Linked DNA regions of Callithrix jacchus. The protein of the gene in region 1 interacts with the protein of each later gene in a biochemical or structural test. Links are inferred from orthologs where the notes say so. Each region holds a gene or a part of one and is shown on either strand. Other genes may lie near its edges.

Region 1 (3,727 bases):
GTGGCAAATACAGGTTGTCTCATTCCTCTCATGCACTGAATGTGCCCTACTGTCTCCTGAAGAGGGGGCAAGGAACGGCAAAGACCTGATCCAGCCCCTTGTCCCCACAGGTGACCACCCCTATGAGTGTGAGTTCTGTGGCAGCTGCTTCCGGGATGAGAGCACACTCAAGAGCCACAAACGCATCCACACGGGTGAGAAACCCTACGAGTGCAATGGCTGCGGCAAGAAGTTCAGCCTCAAGCATCAGCTGGAGACGCACTATAGGGTGCACACAGGTACTGAGGGCCAGGGAGGGGCCTGAGCTGGCTCTCAGACCTGGGTGGAGGTGGAAAACCGATGGTCTGTCGGAGAAGCCTAAGTGAGAATGATCCCAGGCTGAACCAAAGAGTAGAAGAGGTTCTATTAAGGGCTGGTATGGTGGCCTGAGGACCATCACACCCCAGTCAAGGCCAAGGCAGACATTACTAATCAATCCCAGCACACTTTCCAATGAGATCCTGCCAGCCCTCCAGGCAGCTATACCAGTGGTTCAGAGGTGACATGCAAAATGATGTCTGTATGTGAGCACTTAGCTGAAAGTGAAGGTTAGGGTAATTTCAGTTGGAGTAAGAATTAGGGTGCATTGAATTAGGTTATTATGAAGGTCGGGAAATTGTAAAGTGAGCTCGTGTTTGGTTCTGAGATTAGAGGAGCAGATACATTTAATAATCCCTGTATGCATATGAGGTTTTACCATTTCAGAGTGCCTTTACATTCTTTTTTTTAAAAACTTTTACTCTTGTTGCCCAGGCTGGAGTGTAATGGCACAATCTCAGCTCACTGCAACCTCCACCCCCCAGGTTCAAGCGATTCTCCTGCCTCAGCCTCCCAATTACCTGGGATTACAGGCATGTGCCACCATGCCCAGCTAATTTTGTATTTTTTTAGTAGAGACAGGGTTTCGCCATGTTGGTCAGGCTGGTCTCAAGCTCCTGACCTCAAGTGATCTACCCACCTCAGCCTCCCAAAGTACTAGGATTTCAAGTGTGAGCCACTGCACCTGGCTACATCTTCTTTATATTGGACAAAGAAATATAGGCTACTCTTTTTCCTGAGGTCAGAAGACAAAATAAGCAGAGGGTCTTCCACAGTTTCCCAAGCTGGGGGCAGTGGAGTCCTGGAGCTGCACGTGCTTTGTGAAAGCTAATTTTTCAGATTTCTTCACAACTTCAAGTTCGGTGACCTCACCTTGGTTGCTCAAAATTGGCCCTGGGAGGAGTCGTCACATCATTGCAATTGGCAGATGCTACAAACCAGGGCTTTTTGGAAAGCCAGTTGTTAAACATTTACCACCAGCACACTGCTGGTTGTGGGGAAGGATGATTCACAGAAGAATAAGAGGTGGTGGAACTTGGAAAACAAAGATGCCCCCTCTGATCAGGGGAGACAGCTGTCCTGTCCAGAGGAAGGAGGAGAGGTGGCCTCAGGCAGGTCCTGCTGGCTTAGGGGAGAGTACATTGCCTTTAGAGGGGAAGGGTAGACCGAAGGAGCAGTAAGCAGAGCTGTGTGTTGTCAGAGCTCAGTATTCTTGCCCCAGTTTGAGCCCACAAGGAGAGGGTGAGGTGTCCATTGCTGACAACTACAGTGACCCAGAGGATTTCCCAGAGCCCTGGGGTTTCCCTAGCCCCTTGTCAGGGATGTGACCTGGCAGGTGGATCATTAACTGTATTGGCAGTGACTATTGTAAATAGCTGGTCGATAGTTAGATCACTTTGGCTGTTCATTACTTCATTATTTGCTGGGGCCTGTGCGTGGAGGAGTATTGATAGCGAGATGGCTGGCCAGTTAATTACTGTATTGAAACAAGGTTCTCTTACATCCTCTGCTCGCCTCCAGGGGACTCTGTGGAAGGAAAGTTGGGGTATAGAAGGCTAGGGTGTGGCTGTGCACTCCCAGGGTCTTTATTCCTCCCATCCCGCTCTACCCCCAATTCCAGCCTCAGGAGGGATGCAGGGTCTGCAGGGCAAGGTCTAGAGTTTTTAGCAGGATAGGCTGGGTGCAGTCGCTCACACCTGTAATCCCAGGACTTTGGGAGGCCGAGGCAGGCAGATCATTTGAGGTCAGGAGGTCAGGAGTTCAAGCCCAGCCTGGCCAACATGGTGAAAACCTGTCTCTACTAAAAATACAAAAATCAGGCCGGCGTGGTGGTGGCACCTGTGATCCCAGCTACTTGGTAGGCTGAGGCAGGGGATCGCTTGAACCTGGGAGGCGGAGGTTGCGGTGAGCTGAGATTGTACCACTGCTTTCAAGCCTGGACAACAGAGTGAGACTTTGTCTCAAAAGAAACAGCTTTAGCAGGATACATGTCCCCAGGTGTAGCATACTTGAAGGGGACACTCGGGGTTCCCTCAGTTTCCCCCCACCTCTGCTCCCCACCATCTGTAGCCCTGAAAGGTCTTGATCCACCTACTCCCTGGATGGAACTGTGGCTTGTGGCTTGAAGAGCCATTCCTGAGGACTTTGGGACCTTTCTCCTTCTAGACATCCATTTTCTTAATTAGAAAGGGAAAGACTTTGGCCTCGGGAGAGTTGAGAATAGTAAGATAAGGAGCTGGGCAATCCAGTAGATTATTAGTAAGACAAGTAGAATAGTAAGACAAGGAGCTGGGCAAACTAGCTACGTGTAGCTATTTAATTAGTTACCATGAAATAAAAATTGGAAAACTGTAGAGCCCCGGTCGAACCAGCCTCGTTCACAGCCGTGTGTAACTGGTGGCTGCCATCTGGGGTGGTACCTTGGTTGTCCCAGGAAGTTCTGTTGGAGTAATCCCTGCTGCAGGAGCCCAGCTTCTCCGGCACCCCCGAGGATGACTTGGGGCCCTCACTGCCCTCTGTCTGTCCTCACTTTCTCCTGCCCCATCTCCCTACCCTCAGGTGAGAAGCCCTTTGAGTGTAAGCTCTGCCACCAGCGCTCCCGGGACTACTCGGCCATGATCAAGCACCTGAGAACACACAACGGCGCCTCGCCCTACCAGTGCACCATCTGCACCGAGTACTGCCCCAGCCTCTCCTCCATGCAGAAGCACATGAAGGGCCACAAGCCCGAGGAGATCCCGCCCGACTGGAGGATAGAGAAGACGTACCTCTACCTGTGCTACGTGTGAAGCGGGGCCCGTGGCGGTGGAGCCAAGCAGGGAGCCAGGAAAGAAGAGTTGGAGCAAGATGAAGTCAAGGAAGGACTGTGAAAAAGAAAAAAAGGAAAAGAAAAAAAAAGAGAAGAGAAAGGAAACCTGATAGCTTTTTGGCCTTGGATTCTCTCTGGGCTCCAGATGACCTGGATGCCAAGCCACTGCCCCTCCTCTGGGGGCCTCCACCCTCCCCTCCCGGCTGGAGGTTTGCCTGATTTTCTGCTATGGGGTGGGGTATGTCGTTCACTCAAATGGCGGCAGATTTTTCTCCTCCCTCCACCCAGTCCTTCCTTTATGTATCCAGAAACGGAGGCTAAGAAGCAGGTGAGCGGTCCTCTGGTAAGAGCCACACAGTCTCTGCCGACCTTCCTCCCCCAGCCCCCCAGAAGATGAAGGGAGGGAAGATGGGGCTGGGCAGCGTCACTAGTTGCTCAAATGGGGCTGCAGATGGGGCTGGGCTGGGTAGTTGCTCAAAATGGCAACTCCAGTTTGCTGGAGGCCAACTGGGGAGAGGAAGGGGTCTGTTTCTCTTCCCACCACTCAGCCCACCTGCTGCT
Region 2 (4,353 bases), on another chromosome or scaffold:
CCAGAATAGAGCCCAGGAATCCTGCCAGCAATCCTGGACTCCAGCCCTCCCCATGCGACATTCATTCATCCATGTGCCAGGCACTGTGCTAGGTGCTGTGCAATGGCAGCAACCAAGACAGCCCAGAGAGCAAAGGCTGTCCCTAAAATAGGGTTCCAAGATGCTGCTGGAGGTGGCAGGCAGGCGTACCCTCAAAAGCCCCTTACCCCAACCCCTTGGGAGGCCTGTGCAATTCACACTGTCCAAAGAAGCATCCCTGGACACCTGCTTTTTCAGCCCCAGGCTCTTGCATCCTGTCTGGAGACCGATCAAGAGACGGGGAGAGGGGGTGGGGAGGGAAACACCAGGCTGCCCGGGCCCTCATGGCCGTGTTTATCCGGGGTGGATTTTTTTTAACCCAAAGGTTAAAGTGTTTCTATTTGAAACATCTATTTACATTCCAGAGTCCAAAAAAAAAAAAAAAAAAAACAAGGCAGCCGAGCTCCAGGCCTATATCTGTCCCTAGCCGCGTCACAGACACAGCATCAGAGCTGCGCAGGGGGAACATTCTTAGCCCTCTCCCCGAGCCGCTGAGGTGACTCACGCCTCCCTCCTGCCAGCATGGAGCAAGCCACCACTCAGAAGGCTTGGTCCACCCCCCACATCGGCTGGTGTGGGGAGACAGGCATCTGGAGAGAGGAGGTGCCTGGGGGTCCATGCAGGGGCAGCCAGGCTTAGGGATGGGATGAGAGAGCAGGGTCCAGCCTTCGAGGTTTCTGGGGTACAGTCTGAAAAGAGGTGAGTAAACAAGCCAAGGAGGAAACTCTGGGCCAACTGCTGGCTGCTGCTAGTAGCAAGGAATGGAGGGGACAGGACAGGATGGGTGGACCTGATAAGCCACACAGGGTAGAGCTGCCCCAAGCAAATGCTCCGTGATTATTCTGCCTTCCAAGAGACCACCTTAAGTCCCGGAGGCCATGGACTAGGGGCAAGCAGGCAGGGTCTTTCGCTGACCCTGTGGACTCCAGACCAGGATAAGAACCAGCCCTCTGGGTTTATTCCTTATCCCAGGGGCCTATGGAGCTGGCTCCCAGGCATATGCCCTTACCTCACGGGACTTCATGGGTACACAGTAGAGCTGGTCCTCAAGGTTACACCCTCATCCCAGCCCCAGCCTACAGGGCTGGCCCCAGGGTAAGGCCCCTATCCCCGGGGCCTGCATGGATACCCTGCAGGGCTAGTCTCCAGGGCCATGCCCCTACGTGAGAACACTGCAGGGGTATCCCTGCTCAGGAAGATGATAGGCCATGTTCCAAAGATCTTCTGAATCCTCCCGAAACATTTATTCTCTGACACATCCAAGTCGCACTGCAACATTATCCCTGGGCAGCTCAGAGCCAAATCACAGGGACCTGCAGAGGCACACAGTTCCCACCTTCCAATTCGAAGCTTGGGATGCACTCCCACATATCCATAGGCAAAGACTCCCCATTCACACGTGCACACACATAGTCACCCACACTTGAATGCCAAGCCACTACCAGGAGGGGCCAAGCAGGCATGGGTCCAGCAGGCCCCTCCCTGGAAGAAGCATCTTGTGGTGCCGGCCTGGTGGGGAGGCTGTGCCAGAAAGGCTTGATGCTGCCGAAAGGTTGCCGGGAGTGAGGGAAGGAGTAGCCCAGCTCTGGGGGACCCCACCCCTAGCCAAGAGGCAAAAAAGGTTACTGCTGAGAGGGTGGCAGGATTAGGGGGTCCTAACCCCATCTGAGCCAGAGTAATACCTCTTCATCCTCATGACACGGGAATCAACCCAGACCTGGGGAGAGGAGCGATATCGGGAGCCAGCTAGATGCGAAGGCAGCCAAGCCCCTCAATATCCGAGCTGCCAGCCTCTGCCTAACTCCATCACAACTATACCAAGCCTCCCCAAGTGTCTGATTCTCAGGAGACTCCTGGCTGGGGACTTGGCGGAAGTTACTGGACTTGATGCTCTAGCCCTAAGAACCAAGCCAGAGGAGCCGGGGTAAGCTTTATTCCTGTGGACACCTAGCTACGCCTTCTTCCCTTGCCCAAACCTGGGGAGCGGGCAGCAAGGAGGCGGGTCACTGACCCACTTCCTCCCCTCTGACCACACTGCCAACTAGGCCAGGATCCTCCAGTAACCCCCAGCCCCTAGCAACAGATGCTGACCCTGCCAGAGGCCAAAGTGACTGGAAGTGAAGCAGCAGAGTACAGCTGCAGGGCACAGGGGAGCAGCAGGCTCTGGGCAGGGAGGGCAGGGGCCTCTCTGAGCAGGGATCCCCCAGCCCTGTGTATTCTCAGTGAAACTCTCAAGACAGATCTACACAGGATGCTATCTGCACAAGGCTCGGAGCCAGATGCTCAGCCCAGGGACAAGGATACCCAATGACAGAGGGCAGGCAGGGACACCAAGGCACTTACCTGTCACAGGGATGCTGTGCAGAGAAGTCCGAGGCAGGATTTCCAAGGATGGTTCCCGGCCTGACATCCCATCTGCTGAGAAACAGGATTCTGTCTCATAGATGGTCTGCAGCATCTCCACGAGCCCCTGAGCCTTGGGCACCAGCAGCATGCCAGGGAGGGGACCGCCAGAGGCGGAAAGCCAGCCCAAGGAAAGGTGGTCAGGTGGCCCGCACTGTGCAGGGGTTCCCTCAGGCCACTGCCAATGGGACGCGTACTGTGGGGAAGTGCCTCATCCGGCCTGGGCACTCCTGACGGCAGGAGGGGCAGGGAGGCCCAAGAGCTGCAGGCCCAGCTCTGCTCTAAAGGGGTATCCGACCACCAGCCTTTCCTTGGTTCCCGGGAGCTGGGGTATGGCTGAGCACTTGGGACAGGAAGGGGAGCTCAGCGGGCAGGCGGGCTCTCTGTGTTCCCTCCCAATCCTGGGTGACAGCTCTGGGCCGGCTCCCTGCTCCTCCTTCCCGAATGAGCCACCGCCGGCAGCTGGCAGGAGACTGAAATAGCAGTTGGGGGAGGGCCCTGTCTATAAATAGGTGGAGCATGCTCAGGGAGCTGCGGGCCGGCTGCCAGGAGGCCCCATGGGGGGGAGGCGGTTCTACCCCAGGAGGAAGCGCCAGGCGAGGGGGATGGGAACGGGGGAGGGCCTGCACTCAGGGCCAAGGCCATAGCGATAGGTGGCCAGAGGCTGGGCTGGGGAAGGGCGCTGGCTGGGGTACCCATGCATCTGGGAGCGGCTCTGACTGCTACTTTTGGCAAGCAAGCCAGGGGACAGAGACCAAGAAGCCAGACTCAAGCCTCCATCTGCCCTCTTGCCTTCCAGACCAGGTAAAGGAATAGAAAGGGTCTGGGAGAGGCTGGCAGACAGGCAACTTCCCTGGAGTTCTAACAGCCCATGGAGGTTTGCTTATTCTACCCTCCCACAAAGCTGAGGAATGGAGTGCCTCCTCAGTCCTTCAACCAGCAGAGAGACCCCCAAACACCTGCCAATGGCAGCTCCCTCCCACTCATTCTGGAGTGTCGCCTCCAGAGGCTGCTCAGCCTCAGCTTCTTTCTAGGGGGTAGGGATATTCTTCCTGGGCAGACAGGGGTTCCCTGGTCCCCTTTCCTCACCCCAAGCCTGGGAAAGCGAACCAGGGAACACCTGCCCATTCTCGCAGCACAGGTAGCTCCTCCCTATCCATGTGCCAGGTGTGGTGCTAAGAACATCACATACATCATCTCATTCTGCATGGTGACTTTGGGAGAGAGGCACAGAAGGGAAAACTGAGGCACAGGGAGATGGTCACTCACCCTGGGTCATACAGCTGCTTAGATGACAGGGCTGGGATGTCCGAGACTCAAGTCTGAGCTCGACCCACCACACCACACTGCCTCCCATTTCCCAGGGTTTCTATGAACAGGTACAATAAACCCTGTGCTCAAGTAGGAAGAGACTTGAGGTTGGTGCCTCGCTAGGAAGAGTCAGTAGTCTTTCAGCATCCAGCCATTCCCCACCAGCCAGACTCAGGCCTGGCAGCATAGGCTCTGCTCCCTGGGTCCTAGGGCTGGTGCACTGTGAGGACCCGTGCCACTCCCATGCCCTCCCCACTGCTGGCCTGCCCCTTCTCCTCAGGTTGTGCTCCCACAGGTACAGAGATCCCACTTGGCCCCCTGACCTCACTAGAGCCTTTTAATAGCCTGGTTATTCCTGTGTCTGCATCCCCCTCCCTCTTCCTGATGTCACAGTTGCTATTTTGGAGCCCCCTCCTTGCCCCCCACTCCAGGCATGGAGCCAGGGACACCTGTCCTCTCTCTGGACTGGATGACCTCACCCTCTTGTTGGGAGCCCAAGAGGAGCTGGCCAACCAAGGACACAGTGGCTATGGCTCCTGGAGCCCAATTTCCCAGCCAGCT
Region 3 (4,191 bases), on another chromosome or scaffold:
CATTTCTCAAAAAGCTTCCAACGAAGTAGTTATTATTTTTTTCCATTTGAGAGATGTCAAAACTGAGGCTCAGTGAAATTTTCTTGTCCAAGGTCACACAGTAAATAGCAAAGGCAGGATTCAAACTCAGATCTGTAGGATTCCAGTGCACTATGGAAACCTAGGCCTGGGTTGCTGGGGGCAAGTTAAGAGGGCAGGGCCAGATTGACCCCTGCAAAGGTGGGGATAGGGACAGTGGGATAGACTGCGTATAAATAGCAGGCCTGTTTTTATCCCTACACACAGGCAGAATCAGGCAAGAGCTCTATCTGGCACAATTTGAGGGCTCTGAAAGCCAACCCAGCCCTGTGTCAAACAAGTCTCTCCCCAGCACGTCCCTGGAAACTGAAATACCTACTGAGAGACTCATTTCTTTGGATCAGGATAGTGACTCCAGAAGACCCCTGTAAAAGCACAGGGGTTGAAAGAGAAACACTCCGTGCCTGTGAAACAGCAATCTAGGGTAGCCAGCTGGGTCCTATGGGAGGGAGGCTCATTGTTTATGTTGAGGAAAAAGGTGGCAGTCAAAGGCAAGGAAAAGAATAAGGCTTGTTTCACAACCTGTGTCTCTCCAATCTCAGAAGCCTGGGAATTATAATCCATACTTCAAAAATCCTAATGTCCCTGGGGGAAAGATGGGAGGACGCCACTCCAGGCTCTGGGAGAGTACTAACTTCCTTTGCTTTTGCTGGATTGATACCAAGTGCCTGCAACTTCAACTCTGGTTATCTCGGGTTCATGATACAGCTGGCATTCATGCGTCTAAATCTTACATGATAAATGAATTAATTATTATTTGATGCTTGCTATGTTGATAGGCCAAAAGGTGGGCTTCTAAAACTTAGAGGGTGACAGGGATGGAGACCCTTGGTAGAGAGCTGAGACGACCCAAGATGCCAGGCCCCAGACAGGACTCAGCTCGCAGTCACAAGGCTGCAGCGCGACAGGCGTTTGGGGAAAGGTAGGAACCGCTCCCCGCCACCTGCCAGTCAGCAGCCTTACCCACAGTCAGGCCGCGGCTGCCTCGGCCTGGTCCCAAAAAATGTGAGCGCCGCCCCCTCCTCCCGCCCGGTCCGCCGCCGTGGCGGGGTCGGGGGCTGCGCTGCAGGCGCCGCGAGCCTGGCGAGCTTCCCAGCACGGGAGGAGGGAGGGGGCGGCGCCGGGCAGGGCGGGGCTTCGGCGCCTCCCGGAGCCTTATTCCCGGCCGCGCGCCGGGCAGCGCTCATTTCGCCGAAGGAACTACGGTGTCCAAGCTTCTGGCTGGCCTGACCTAGGCGCGCGGGGTCTGGCGAACGCGGCGGGCGGAGTGAGCAAGACAGACACTAAACGAGAGCGAGCTGCGCGCGGGTCGCGGCCAGGCTTGCACGCAGAGGCGGGCGGCGAACGGTGCCCAGAGGAATCTCCTGAGCTCCGCCGCCCAGCTCCGGTGCCAGCGCCCAGTGGCCGCCGCCTCCAAAGTGATTGGTGCCTCGCCGCCTCCACTCGGTGCGGGACCATGAAGCTGCCGCCGTCGGTGGTGCTGAAGCTCTTTCTGGCTGCAGGTAAGAGGACTGCTGACGCCCCCGGAGATCGGGGGGATGGGGGCGCTGTGCTGGGGGCACCGGGGAAGGTCGCCGCAGCGCCCCCGGCACGGGCCACTTGGTGGGGCCCTTGCGCTCTGGCGGAGGGGCGTGGGCATCGATGCGTGTTAGTCGGGGGTCTGGGCGGGTGTCTGATGCGGCCTGGCCCCTCGCCTGCAGTTCTCTCGGCGCTGGTGACTGGCGATAGCCTGGAGCGGCTTCGGAGAGGGCTAGCTGCTGGAACCAGCAACCCGGACCCTCCCACTGGATCCACGGACCAGCTGCTGCCCCTAGGAGGCGGCCGGGACTGGAAAGTCCGTGACTTGCAAGAGGCAGATCTGGACCTTTTGAGAGGTGGGTGTGGAGGCCGTCCATCCTCGGACCCTGGTGGGCTCTTGAAAAATAAACAGATCCAAGATTCTTGCTGTTTGGCCAATACTGTGGGTTGGGGATATTCATGGAGAACCTTGGGGAAAAGCTGATGGGCCTGACGGACACTGGGGGATCCTGGAATATAGGTCCCACTCTCTGTCTTGCCATTGGCCTGGCCTGCTAGATTGCTGCCCTTCTGGGTACTTTGGGGCAAATTGAAAAAGGCAAGTTGTCTTGAGTTTGTTACATTCTTCTTAGGTAAGCTGGGAGATAGGAACAAGGAATGGTTGAGATGCTTTCCCTAGAGTTACTATGTAAAAATGGGTGCCAATTCTAATTCCCTCATCAAAATGACTATTATGTATAAAATAGAGGTAACCGATGAGGAGATGCCCAGGCACATCTATAGAAAATGTGCAATGTTAGCCTCCTCCATCCACCTGTCACCAGATTGGGGAAACAGAAGGGAATGAGAAGCTCTTGGCTGCCGTAGGTGAGGCGGTGAATGGTGAGCACTGGGCCTCTAGGGGGCTGTGTTAAAGTGCTGGGTATCTATGAATGCTACGGGAAACTTGAAGGCTTCCTGAGCACCTTGCATTCCTGAGGAGACTGCAAATGGGAGAGCTGTGTAAGATCCTCCAACCAGCCTCTTTGGCTGTGGGCAAGTACAGGCACAGGGCAGAGTCCAGAGCCTGCCAGCTTTCCTGCCTCCAGACCTGAAGAGATTCTCCAGGGTAGAGCAGGGACTCTGAATGACTATATTTGGTTGGACAGATGCCCACCTGTTCTAGCTCCTCCTGCTCCTCAGCTGCCTTTCTCCCTCCTTCCCAGGAGCTTCCCTTGGGTACTCTCTCTACTTTGTATAAATCAAGCACGTGCTCCAAAACTGAGCCTTGGGCTTCCATGCTTCATCCTCCCCTAGTGGCCCTCTGGGGTTGCCCATGACCTGAACAGCCTGAACTCTTCTGGCCCTCTCCTAGGCTGGGCAGGGCTGGGCTGTGACTCACCCCACCCCCACCCCACACCCACACGACTGCTCCTCATACCTCTGCAGACCTGACTCACTGCTCCTTCTCCACGGCAGGAGCCTGGCTGTCACCCTGCATCTTTTCCCACCCCTTTCTGATTGGCGTGGCCCTCCTGCTTTGCTCTCCTGGAAGCTCTGGTCCCTGGGTTCCTCTGACCACCTGCATCACCTTCTGAGCTCTGAGGTGGCCTGGGACTGGATGAGAGGAAATAAGGGACTGTGGGGTTGCTGGCATCTACTTCTCTAACCTTCTCTTGGCTCTGCTGGGCAAGGACTATTTTTCAAGTCTGGGGATCCTATCACTTAAAATAAATGACTGCTACCATTTATTAAATGCCTACTGTGTTCTAGGCACTTGATATGTTATCCTGGTTAATTTAACACTTACAGCAACCTTTTGAGATAGTTATTCTTCTATCCACATTTGCCTGAGAACCTGAGGTTCAGAGAGGTTAAGTGACTTGCCCACAGTCATATGGCTGAAATTGGAGCACAGGTCTATGGACTTCAGAGCCCATTCATGCCTGGCTCAGCATCTCAGGTGCTCCAGACTTGAGGGAAGGAGGAGATGGGGTGGTGTGAGGCAGCTTGATGTGATGAGGAAGGACATTGGAATGGAGTCCAGAGACCACAGTTCTAATCCCAATTCTGCGTGACCTTGAGTAAATCACTCTGCCTGCCATGATATTCTTTTTTTTTTTTTTTTTTTGAGACAGTCTCACTCTGTCACCCAGGTTGGAATGCAATGGCACGATCTCAGCTCACTGCAATCTCAGCCTCCCGGGTTCAAGCGATTCCCCTGCCTCAGCCTCCCTAGTAGTTGAGATTACAGGCATGCACCACTATGCCCAGCTAAATTTTTGTATTCTTAGTAGAGATGAGATTTTGCCATGTTGGCCAAGCTGGTCTTGAACTCTTGACCTCAGGTCATCTGCCTGCCTCAGTCTCCCAAAGTGTTAGGATTACAGGCGTGAGCCACCATGCCTGGCGTCATGTTATTCTTTGAAGTCACTTCCAGCTTGAGACTCTAAGTCTCTAGTCTAATGTATCATGCTCACTCTTCTGCTAGACTGATGGCTGTAGCCATGGATGTGGGCACCTTTTTCCTGATGGGGGATAAGAGGGTGGGATTGGGCTGATGGGTATAGTCCATGGTCAGTCCCAGCTGGATGTCTGGGTGAGGTTGTTTTTCCC
Region 4 (4,402 bases), on another chromosome or scaffold:
CTATCTTGTTTTAAAATTGTCATTCACCATTCCTTTCCTTCCGCGTTCAGCCATCTCAGAGTAAGCATTTCTTACAATGACCAAAGTTTTCCAATTATGAGTTATTGAGACGTTTAATGTAAAATTGGCATTTTTATTTTGCTAACTGTATTTCTATCCACATAACTACAATATCACCCCCCCACCCCCGCCAAGAATCACAGGTCGAGAATGCCATAAGGACGGATCCTTGCTCAGCTCCGAGGAGGAACGGCCTACAGTCGAAGCGGACGGGCATCTCCGCCAGGCCCAGCGTCCCGGGGCCCACGCAGGCAGGGCCCACGCACCGGCGCGAGCTGTCAAAGGCGCTTCCTCCCTGGAACGCGGGGTTCCGCGTTTCATCTTGTGCACCAAAGATGAAAAGTTGTCACACTCCTGCTGGAAAGAAATGGCAACTTCACCGCCAGGAGGTGGCCACTGAAGACCACCGCCCACACCGTTCGGCTGTGGCCACCAAAGGCGCTCGCGGGGCTGCCGGGCCCGACCTTTAACCACACGAGCCCCCCCACAAGCCCCGCCGCCTTAAAACAACGCCCACCCGGCCACTGCGCCGCTCCCGCCCCCTCCACGTCTGCCCGGCCCGGGACTGGAGACCCTGGCGGCGGCCCGGACTATCTCCGTCTGCGCAGGGATGCGAAGGCCGCGTCCCACGACCCGCCGTTGTAGGCCTGACCGGCCTGCGCTCCGCACCCCCACGGCCGCGTTCCCGCCGCGGGGCAGGGCGAGGCCCGCCGCGCCTGCGCACTCGGTGACCCGGCCGCCCTGCGCCTCCGTGCGCACGCAGCACCACGTGACCTACTGCCAGTACCTAAGATGGAGGTCGCGGCGAGGCCTGGCCGGCTCCCGGCCTCAGCCTGCATCCCATTGTGTGCTCTCTAAGCGCGAATTAGGCTCGCAGACACGCGGTGCTGACCCTTAGACAGCCATGCGGGCTACTGATTGGGACGATACGGCCAGGGCCAGTGTTTACGGTCACTGCTGGCCCCGGGTCCCAGCGCTTCCCCAACCGCAAAGCGAAACACCCAGTGGCTGGCGCCTGGAGCGTCCTTCGGTACGCCCGCCCCCTGGAATTGGCAGCTCCGAGAGCCAATGAGGTCCAGGACGTGTGCGGGGAGGCGGGCATGGGTGGAGCCTCTCTGTCGCTCATAGGGCGTCCGGCCCCGCGGTTGGGCAGCTCCTGGGCGAGGGGTGGGAGCAGACGGGCTGTGCGCAGGCCCCAGAGGACCAATGGATGGCCGGCCAGGCGCCCGGGGCGGGCGGGCAGGAGGCGGGGCCGAGCCGTAATTGACGAGCTCTTCATTAGAAACCAGGCGGCGGGGCGGGGCCCGCAAGGGGAGGTGACGCAAGGCTACCGCAGCCAATAGCTGATGAGCCGCCGGCGGGCGGGGCGGGGCCGGGTCGGCTGACGGGCGTGCGGGGTGGCCTATTGCCGCCCGGCTCGGCGCTGGAGGGGGGAGAAGCATCATGGTTCAACGTGGGTCAATTTTTTGTGAATGAGGAGGGGAGGTTGTGGGGCCGCCGCCGCGGAGCACCGTCCCCGCCGCCGCCCGAGCCCGAGCCCGAGCCCGCGCTCCCGCCCGCGCCGCCGCTGCCGCCGCCGCCCGAGCAGCCTCCCAGCCTGGGCCCCCGGCGGCGCTGCGGCCGCGTCCCGGCTGTCGCCGCCCGAGCCCGAGCCCGCTCGCCGGCGGGTGGCGGCGCAGGCTGAGGAGATGCGGCGCGGAGCGCCCGAGCAGGGCTAGAGCCGCCCGCCGCCGCCCGCCGCGGTAAGCGCAGCCCCGGCCCGGCGCCCGCGGGCCATTGTCCGCCGCCCGTCCCGCGCCCCGCGCCGCCCGCAGGCCTCGGAGCCCGCGGCAGGTGGACGCAGCCGGTCCACACCCGCCCCGCGCGCGGCCGTGGGAGGCGGGGGCCAGCGCGGGCCGCGCGCCGTGGGACCCGGCGGTCCCCAGGGCCGCCCGGCCCCTTCTGGACCTTTCCAGCCGCGCCGCGAGGCGGCCTCGCTCGCCGGGGCGGGGGCGCGGGGGTGGGCACGGCCGGCAGCGGCGCCGTGGCCCGGTGCGGAGCCCGCGCCCCCCAAGCAGGTGGGCTCCGGGCCGCCGGGAGTGAGGGCGGGGGCGGGCGGGCGCCGTTTATGTAACTTTGTCAAATGCTGTGAGTTTGCAGAAAAACCTCCCCGCAGGGGTCCGCGGCCCCGCGCGTGTCGTAGCCGCCGTGAGCCCCCGGGGTTCGTGGGAGGGCGGGGGGCTGCCTGGGACCCCCTCGGCTCAGCCCGTGGGGCGTCCACAGGCCGAGATGGGGCCCGGCCCCGCTCGGGGGTGGGATCCGCGTTTCTCGGCGTTGCGAAAACACACCACAGAATCATAAGCAAATTATCTTGTATTTACATTGAGCTTTGAATTATTTGACACTGTTCTAGCGGGAGACCGTGTGTATCAGTCGGAAGGGCCGGGGGTGGAACCCTGTGTACTCATTTAATGCACATCAAAAATTTGTAATAACTTGAGGCAGCTGATATGAGTGTTTTCTTTATTGCATGTTGTAAATTGACCTGCTGTGACACAATTTTCAAATAAAGCGTTGCAGAAATTAAACTTAAGTTATTTTAAAACTAATGACTTTCTTAACTAAATCCTAATTGCATGACTGTGGAGACCTACCTAATTGCTTGCTGAGAGCAGTTCTGCCTGCCCTCGGTGAGGGAGGAAAGGGCCTGTGTAGCCACTTTGCCGCCCCGTTTTTCTCTATTCAGGCATTTCTGTTTATTCCCACAAATCGCCGAAGCAGTAAGGCCTGGGAGTAAACCTGTAAACAGCCCTGGCTCAGCGCCAGCCCAGCAGGACTGAGGGGGATACTGGCAGGTTTGCACCTTGACCTGGTTTCACTTTTTCTTTTGTAATATGATCGTGGTTGCCTGGAGTTTTAATTGCTTCTGATAATTCTGTGCATTATTTTCGGGACCGTCCAAAGAAGGCGGGTGTGGTGGTTTCAGGACCCAGCCTGGGAAGGTGGTGGCGGTGGCGGCTGGGGAGGGGGAGGGAGGAAGGGAGGGAGATAGAGTTAAGAAAACTCAGCTGCTTGTACACAAATATACACTAAAGCAGTTACAAAGCAGCAAAAGTTATTGCAGAATTTTGCAGTAACTATGGCAACACAATTACTCTATTATAATTGGAAATGCGAAATGCCACCCAGTTAGAAGTTTCATCAGGAAGGAGTTTTGGATATCAAAAATATGAGAGATGTAATTTTTTTTCAGGTAGCTCGTGTGAATTCTAAAATCTGTCTTCAATTACCTATTTTTAAGACTGATCGCGCTTTCCCAGATAGTCTACTCTGGGATCCGTGGCATCTTTCCCCAGAAGAACTCACATTTGTGTGGGAGGGAAGTATTTTCATGTCTTAAAAACACACCCCGACACATTGTAAGACTTGTATAGCTTTCTGTGTTCTGGGCTCTGATTTTAGAGATCAAATCTCGTCCTAAAAAGAGCAGTAATCTATTAGAAAAGAAGCCGCTGTACTCAGCAGGCAGATGTAACGCTGCCCTCTTTAGGGTTCTTTCTCCCTAAAGGCGAGCTGGCAGCAGGCTTGACCCCGGGGGAGCCCTGGGCTAAGAGGCGGGACTGAGGGAAGATGACTGGACGGCATATAGGCCTGGAAGGCCTAGGGACAAGGACAGATGTGGCCTCGGAGCCCTGCACCAGAGACAATGTTCTGTGGTCAGCAGTTTTGTAGCAATGCAAAGTAAAAATCCCCAAGTGACATGTTCTCAGAGGCTTTGGGGGCTGTTGCTGTAGTGAGATGGGCAGAACAACCTGGCACGCGGGCCACGTGTGGCTCAGGCAGCCCATCTGGACTCTCTCTGGCCAGAGACCTGCTTGAGAAGGGTGCCCTGTGGATGTTTACCAGGAGGACTCCAGTGCTGGAAGTTTCCACACATTGTGGGGCTGCTGCAGTGTGATTTCCTGATAACTCTTTCCTTTAACTACTGCATATTTATGCCCAGTAATCGACTTCCATTCTCCAGCTTCATTGTGAGGTTTCAATGCAGCGTGAATGGCTTTGAATTCCAATCCTTTGATGTTGGGGTGGCACCAAAGGAAAGGCGACTTTGTGCTGTCTTAATTGCCAGAGCAGAAGAAACATTTCACTCCTGTAGAATTTGTCCATACTGTTCTCTTGAAGACGGCTGGGCTTTCATAGCTCAGAAGCTGCCATGAGTAATGTATTAGTACCTGATGTAGGGCGCGAAGGAGCCTCAGAGGGCGAGGGAACAGCTGCTGCTGGGAGGCGGCTGGGGGGCAGGCTGTGGCCAGGCGTTCCCTCCGAGGCCAGAACTGATGGCTGTACCTGGGGACGGAGGACA

What was found.
Region 2: the proteins of ZBTB16 (region 1) and HDAC5 form a complex in vitro, tested with the Homo sapiens proteins (2 studies listed by BioGRID). The link is inferred for Callithrix jacchus from reciprocal best matches to the Homo sapiens genes ZBTB16 and HDAC5.
Region 3: the proteins of ZBTB16 (region 1) and HBEGF form a complex in vitro, tested with the Homo sapiens proteins (2 studies listed by BioGRID). The link is inferred for Callithrix jacchus from reciprocal best matches to the Homo sapiens genes ZBTB16 and HBEGF.
Region 4: the proteins of ZBTB16 (region 1) and HDAC4 form a complex in vitro, tested with the Homo sapiens proteins (2 studies listed by BioGRID). The link is inferred for Callithrix jacchus from reciprocal best matches to the Homo sapiens genes ZBTB16 and HDAC4.

What each region holds. Positions count from the first base shown.
Region 1 is NC_133511.1:13,929,875-13,933,601, forward strand, and holds part of ZBTB16 (zinc finger and BTB domain-containing protein 16), read left to right. Parts: intron 1-110; coding exon 111-278; intron 279-2,916; coding exon 2,917-3,146; 3' UTR 3,147-3,727. UniProt on the Homo sapiens protein: Acts as a transcriptional repressor. Transcriptional repression may be mediated through recruitment of histone deacetylases to target promoters. May play a role in myeloid maturation and in the development and/or maintenance of other differentiated tissues.
Region 2 is NC_133506.1:70,958,271-70,962,623, forward strand, and holds the start of HDAC5 (histone deacetylase 5), read right to left. Parts: upstream 2,933-4,353; 5' UTR 2,573-2,932; coding exon 2,422-2,572; intron 2,003-2,421; coding exon of another isoform or gene 1,773-2,002; exon of another isoform or gene 1,640-1,772; intron 778-1,639; coding exon of another isoform or gene 725-777; exon of another isoform or gene 552-724; intron 1-551. Other genes in the region: uncharacterized protein LOC118153996, read left to right, coding at 1,773-2,002. UniProt on the Homo sapiens protein: Responsible for the deacetylation of lysine residues on the N-terminal part of the core histones (H2A, H2B, H3 and H4).
Region 3 is NC_133503.1:38,718,978-38,723,168, reverse strand, and holds the start of HBEGF (proheparin-binding EGF-like growth factor), read left to right. Parts: upstream 1-1,259; 5' UTR 1,260-1,534; coding exon 1,535-1,580; intron 1,581-1,778; coding exon 1,779-1,952; intron 1,953-4,191. UniProt on the Homo sapiens protein: Growth factor that mediates its effects via EGFR, ERBB2 and ERBB4. Required for normal cardiac valve formation and normal heart function. Promotes smooth muscle cell proliferation. May be involved in macrophage-mediated cellular proliferation.
Region 4 is NC_133507.1:160,740,167-160,744,568, reverse strand, and holds the start of HDAC4 (histone deacetylase 4), read left to right. Parts: upstream 1-1,470; 5' UTR 1,471-1,513; intron 1,514-4,402. UniProt on the Homo sapiens protein: Responsible for the deacetylation of lysine residues on the N-terminal part of the core histones (H2A, H2B, H3 and H4).